Linked DNA regions of Canis lupus familiaris. The protein of the gene in region 1 purifies or fractionates together with the protein of each later gene. This does not show direct contact. Links are inferred from orthologs where the notes say so. Each region holds a gene or a part of one and is shown on either strand. Other genes may lie near its edges.

Region 1 (2,523 bases):
TGGGGCCGGGATCTGGCTGCCATGGTCACCGCTTCTTCCCCCTCCCAGGACTGCCCCAACCACGGCTTCAAGGTGGGCATGAAGCTGGAGGCCGTGGACCTGATGGAGCCCCGGCTCATCTGCGTGGCTACGGTGAAGCGGGTGGTGCACAGACTCCTCAGCATCCACTTTGATGGCTGGGACAGCGAGTATGACCAGTGGGTGGACTGTGAGTCTCCGGACATCTACCCCGTCGGCTGGTGTGAGCTCACCGGCTACCAGCTCCAGCCACCTGTGGCCGCAGGTCTGGGCTCTCACGGCCTCAGGGGACCCTCAACTTTCCTTTTCTTTTTCCTTCCTGTCAACTGCTCCCCCTGCCCCGTGCCTACCTCATTCTTTGGCATGAGAGCGATTGGTCTCCTGGACCACTGCTCACTAAAGAGTGGCCCTTGTGTCCCCTGTCCCGCTCCTGACTTGTCTGTCTCCCTCTCCCTCTGGCCTGCAGAGCGCCTTCCTTGATCTTGCCCACTCTGTCATATGCTCGTGCCCTTGTGCACCCAGGTAAACCCCCCAGGTCCCTCGGAGCACCCCTAGTGACGAGGGTGGGATGAAGGGACAGTTGCTTCCAGTCCCTCCCCCATTCTCACTCAACTTTGGCTTTCCTTCTTGGGGTGTCCCGTGTGTAAGGGAGGCTGAGGGATGGGTAGGTGTCTCGGGATGTGCCTGTACTGTGTCCTCTCAGAACTCTCTTAACCTCTTCCCTCTGTCTTTCAACAACAGAGCCGACCACACCTCTGAAGGCCAAAGAGGCCACAAAGAAGAAAAAGAAACAGTTTGGGAAGAAAAGTAAGTGATGCTCTGAAGAAGCGGCCAGGGCTGGGGTGGGCCTTGGGATCAGCTGGGCCTATGTCCCTGGGAGCAGAGGGGGAGTCGCCGCTTGGGTAGCACCCTCCATGGTCTGGTCCCTCCATCTCCTCTCCTTTGCCCTTCCGCCCCATCAGGCCCATCAGCCTGTGTCTTAAGGGACTCAGGTACAGATAGGGAGTCTTGAATCTCTGGCAGGGGTCAGGATCCCGAGGAAAAAAGCAAGAAACAGTATTTGTAAAGGAGAGAAGGGGGAGGAATCCCCAGCCCTTCTGCCCTGTGGTCAGAAGTCAACGCGACCCCATCGGCAGTGCACAACTGCCTTTTGAAAGTAAGATGGCGGGGGCAGCATCCTTCTCCCCAAGCCTGTCATCCTTCCCTGGGGACCCTCAGGAGTGGAAGCTTCAGGATCATTTCCTTAGGTGGGGCTCTGCTCTTAACAGATCCTGGGCCCTGTGCGGGCTCAGCTTGAGGGGGACAGCAGGTGGAGTGGGGTGGGAGGAGGTAAAGCTAGCCCTCGGAGCTGCCGGCCTGTGGCAGCAACATGCTCTCCATGATGTGGCGCCACCCAGAGAAGAGGTGGTCCGAAACAGGATGGGGAGGAAGCCGGCGTGGTCCCTGGGCAGGATCAGGGTCCGGTGAGGGTATGGAGCTGATCATGTGGGAAGACCTCGTGCCGTCTACACTAGCAGGGCTGGGAAAGTCACTTCACAGGTGAAGAAAAGACTGGAAGAGGGACAGAAGCTCAGCAAGCCTAACTGGGGGGCTTAACCTGCTACAGGAGAGAACCTCCCTGAGCGTCGGCACCCGGCCCCGAGGGGCGGCATCAGAGCTCACGCTCTGCTCCCCTGCAGAGTGGCACCTGCCTTCTGCTCACCACTGGAGGACACCCAGCCATCGAGCCCCACATGGATACTGCCCTGTGCTGGGTTTCATTCTGTGTTTATTCAAAGGGAAAAGAATACCACCGACCAAGACCCGGCCCCTCAGACAGGGGTCCAAGAAGCCCCTGCTGGAGGATGACCTGCAGGCCACAGAGAAGAGCTCATCGGATCCTGTTCCTGAAGAGAGTAAGAGCCTCCCGGGCGGGGTCAAGACAGGGCCGGCCTGCTCCAGTGCTCAGAGGCGGCCCGCCTCCTTCCCCACCTGGGCACAGAAGAGGAGAGTCAAGTGTGAAGGGACTTTGCCGGGCACCAAGCAGTCCTCCTTGGACCACTGGGCCTGGAGAGCTTCCCAAACACCCGCCCCCAACTCTGAACGGAGCCGCGCATCTCCAGCCGGGCCCTCTCCATCTCTACTGCCTGCCCCTCGGGGGGAAGGTGCCACTCCCACCTCCCCACCACGTCCTGAGGGCCCCCGTTCCTAGGGAGCCAGAGCCCCCTGCCCCTCCCAGGGTTTCACGCACACTCACTCTGTTCTCCCGCCCTCCCCACCTCCCTCCCTCTTTAGTCATTGCTGTGCAGGTGAAGGAAGAGCATCTAGACATGGCCACGCCCGACAAAGCCCCGAGTCCAGAGCTGCCCGTTCCCATCGAGAACATCAAACAGGAGACAGACGACTGAGCCTTCCCCACCAGCCCGGGGCTCCTCTGTTGCCACCACCCCTTCACCCTGCTTTAGTGTGGAGACAAGCCTTTTTTGCCCAAGTCCTGCCAGGTGCCGTGAGGGCCAGGCACCAAAG
Region 2 (3,748 bases), on another chromosome or scaffold:
TGTAATGCCACTTAACACCTGCTACTGACACCTCCCCACTGCCAGATCCCAAAGGTTCGCGTGGGCATTCCGAGCCGCGCCCCCTAGGTCCCCCGCAGCAGGCTACCCCCCCCCGCAACCCCCCCCCCCCCCCCCGGCCCAAGCGGGTTACGCCCCAGGGCGCAATGCAGAGCGACTCAGGCATCAGGAAGACAAAGTAAAACCAGTCGCACCAAGGAGAGGCAGCGTTATTTAGGCAGCCAGCTACTCCCCCAGAGCCTCCACCCTGTCCCCTGGGCCCGGCGCCCGGCGCTCAGACAGTGCCGGGCTCCTGGAGCCCCAGCTCCCTCCACGTGTCCTGTCTTCCCAGCAGCCTCCTCTGCAAGCCTCTGGAAGAAAACCTCCTGACAACTCGCGGTCTGCGGACTACAACTCCCAGCAGACACCGCTTCGCTTCGCTCTCCGCCCCCCTCCACAGGACACGCAGGCGCTCTGGGCTCCGTCAGCAGGCTGGACCGGCGACGGCCGTGTGCAGCTCCTTTTGGGATTTGTAGTTTTTCCGGAGCCAGCCGGGCCGTCAGTCAAAGGGAAGACAACTACAAGTCTCGGCGGCCCCAGCGTGACGGACCGGGTCACGTGGCAGGGGGCCGACCGGGCGTGCGTGCCGCCGTTGATCCGGTGCTGCAGTGAGGAGGTGGTTCTCGCCCGTGTTGTGTGTGTGTGTGTGTGAGTGAGAGAGCGAGTGAGTGAGTGAGTGTGTGTGTGTGTGTGTGGGGGGACTCGGCTTGTTGTTGTCGGTGACTTCCCCCTCCCCTCCACCCCTCCCCCTTCCCCGCCGCCGCTGCAGTGGCCGCTCCCTGGGCCGTAGGAAATGAGCGATAACGATGACATCGAGGTGGAGAGCGACGTGAGTCCCGGGGCTTCTTCCTTCCCGTGCGGGTTGTCAGGCGGGGACAGCGGCCGGGGCTCTCAGCGGGGCGACGGCGGCAGGGGGCCGGGCAGCCGCCTCCTCCTTCCCCTTCCCCTCCCCTCCCCCGGCTGGGACCGCCTCCGCCGCGCTCCGGGCTCGCTCCCCTCCAGGCTCCTAGCCGGAGCGGCCTTCTGGGACTGGAGGTGGGGTGGAGACACGCGGCCTTTGGGACCCCCCACCTCCCCCGGTGGAGGAAGGTGCTGCTGCCTCCGGCTCCCACCCTATCCCGCTCAGGATCCGGGGGTCCGGGACAGGGTGCGCCCGGGATCCATTGTCCGCTCCCGGGGAAGGGGACGCCGCTCGGGACCTGCCCCCCTCGGTTGCGATCACCCTCTTCCCGTGACCCACGGATCCTGGCGGGTGAGGGAGGGCGGAGAGGGGGTGGGAGTGCCCAGATGCCCAGAGCTGGGTGCGAGGGGAGGAGACAGTGCTCTGAACCCCCTCCGGCCGGAGTCGGATCCCGGAAGGAGGGGCGGCGCTCGGGACCCCCCCTGCCCGGCTACCGGATCCCGCTGGGGGGATGGGGGCGTGGGGTGAGGAGGGAGGGAGGGGGGTCTGGCTGACTCCCCACCCGCCGCTTCCTCCGCCGCCGGCATTTTCTTTCTTATTATTGAATGTGAAGTGTAAAAATAACTTCTATATTTTCTATTTTTTTTTCTCTCTTATTCCAGGAAGAGCAACCGAGGTTTCAATCTGCGGTACGTCTCCTACTCTCCATTTCATTTTCATTTCCGTTCAGTTCTAGTCCTTTTTGGGGTCAGAGAGAAAAAGATTGTCCTATTGTTTTTAATACTGTAGTAAACTCTTCTGTAACCGCTAAGGTGAGGCGGGGCAGTTTTCTGGGGTTCTAGGTGGGGGGCGGGGGGGCGGGTTTTCAAATCTCCTCATCCTAGACTCTCCGGTGTTTCAGTGAGTGTAGGTGAGTGAAAGGAGCTGTTTGCAGAGAAATGACTCTTTCTGTAGTTTCCAGGTGGGGGATCTAGATGTCACTATGTAAGTGTAAAATGAGAAATGTCATTCTGAAGTAAATTGTATTATTTTGGGGCAAAGTGGTCAGATTTCGTTTGGCACAAGCAGATTCTAAACCATACATGCACAGTTATGTGAAGCTGAAGCCACATGCAAAAAATCATCTTTAACCAAAAGTCACGTGGTCATGTGACTGCTGTAGACCTATAGAATCTGGCACAACCTGGTATCATTCTAATGCAGAAATTAGAAATGTAGAGGAACCAAAGGTTGAATATGAAAGCGTCACAAACTGCTTATTTTGGTCTGATTGAGTTGAAGGAGAGGTATAAAAGAAAATGGAAAAATTGTCAAGGAAAGGTGGCATTGCAGAGATAGATTTGCTAAAAGGTGGTGGTTGAGACATGCAATGTTATCAGTAAATTTCTCAGGGTTTGGTATTAATGTTGTCAGTAGACGGTTCCGTGGATTTGGATAGATACTACTCTCATGCCTTTCCAGTTTGGGACAGTACCATGAATAGATTAGAGAAAAAAAAAAAAGATAGACATAAAAAAAATCAGAGTCAGAGAGAGGAAGAGAAATACATCAGAGTGTCTAACATTTGACCGATGGGAACAGTACGAAGTTTATAGAATGGGGGTCAAAAATTCAGATGCCTCTGGGGAGCCCAGGCAGTAAGATCGTTGGGAATAAAGAGTGGAGGTGAGGACTGGGTTCTGGAATGCACATGTCTCATCTGAAAAGGCAATCACTAAACTCCGGTGGGGGGGGGGTGTTATGTGGGAGTAAGGGCTCACTGTTTCCAGATCTTATTTTTAAAGAAAGTCTAGAAACCCAGATTTTTATGTTATTTTTCTGATTTTTGAAATGATGTTTGGGACATCCAAGTTGTTTGGGAACTTGTTAGAATATGCAGGATGACACTTTGGTACCTCTGGTATCCCAGGATAAAAGCAAGTCCTCTTCCTTATATCTGTTCTTTTTTAGAGCAAGCAAAGTTTCTATAGGTTGTCCATGCAGATAGGCATTAAGAAAAAATATTGTTTATTGAGAGCTGATATTTGCTGTAAAATCTAGAGTATGCAGTTGTTCCAGAAGATTTTAAAAATTATACCTGGGTAAAAGTCACTATAAAAGGTTTGTTTGTTTTATCTTTCCTTGATATATTGTCAGACACTTACCTTTACGTGTTTATTTGGAAATTCAGTTCTTTTTTTCTAGTCACTGTGATCCTTATTGTGAACGTGGAGTTTCATGTTTGGGATCCAGTCTATTTAAAACATTTTTTTTTCCAAGTCTCCAGTTATAAAATGTGCCCCAGGGCTTGATCAGGATTGGAGGATAGGGATTGGTTAGGCATGCTTTGCAGAATCATTATTTGACTTGGAATTACATTGGCTTTCCAGTGAGAGAAAGTTTTCTTTGTGAAAGTTTGGCTTACAGCTCTTGAAAGCTTTCTGCTTTTCAAAATATCCATCCACAAGGGTATTGATGTAAATTGCTTTATTAAATTATTAAAATGTTTCCACTCTCCTAGAATGCTAATGTCATTGTTTTTTCTAGATATTTTTAGTTTGGTGGTAAGGTGCCTAGGTTTTTTTTCTCGTTGATTTTGGGAGGTGGGCAGTGGGAGTGAATTTGACCCTCTGTTTTTAATTTGACACCTCTACTTGCTGAGACTTTTAAATATTATCTGGCATAAAATAATCACCATAGTATGGAGAGAAGAAGCAATAGATAAATTTTATAGAATATCAAACAATTATCGTGAACAAGTGGGGTAAAATGGATTTTGGGTTTTTTCCCTCTGCGAATACATCAATTTCC

The links. Proteins that work in one complex are often made in the same cells at the same time.
Region 2: the proteins of L3MBTL2 (region 1) and MAX purify together in Homo sapiens (affinity purification with mass spectrometry; 6 studies listed by BioGRID and IntAct, with this or other methods). This does not show direct contact. The link is inferred for Canis lupus familiaris from reciprocal best matches to the Homo sapiens genes L3MBTL2 and MAX.

The regions. Positions count from the first base shown.
Region 1 is NC_049231.1:24,958,570-24,961,092, reverse strand, and holds part of L3MBTL2 (lethal(3)malignant brain tumor-like protein 2), read left to right. Parts: intron 1-48; coding exon 49-283; intron 284-484; exon of another isoform or gene 485-540; intron 541-759; coding exon 760-825; intron 826-1,769; exon of another isoform or gene 1,770-1,796; coding exon 1,797-1,913; exon of another isoform or gene 1,914-1,989; intron 1,990-2,292; coding exon 2,293-2,405; 3' UTR 2,406-2,523. UniProt on the Homo sapiens protein: Putative Polycomb group (PcG) protein. PcG proteins maintain the transcriptionally repressive state of genes, probably via a modification of chromatin, rendering it heritably changed in its expressibility.
Region 2 is NC_049229.1:39,737,885-39,741,632, reverse strand, and holds the start of MAX (protein max), read left to right. Parts: upstream 1-1,329; 5' UTR 1,330-1,344; coding exon 1,345-1,482; intron 1,483-1,620; coding exon 1,621-1,647; intron 1,648-3,748. UniProt on the Homo sapiens protein: Transcription regulator. Forms a sequence-specific DNA-binding protein complex with MYC or MAD which recognizes the core sequence 5'-CAC[GA]TG-3'. The MYC:MAX complex is a transcriptional activator, whereas the MAD:MAX complex is a repressor.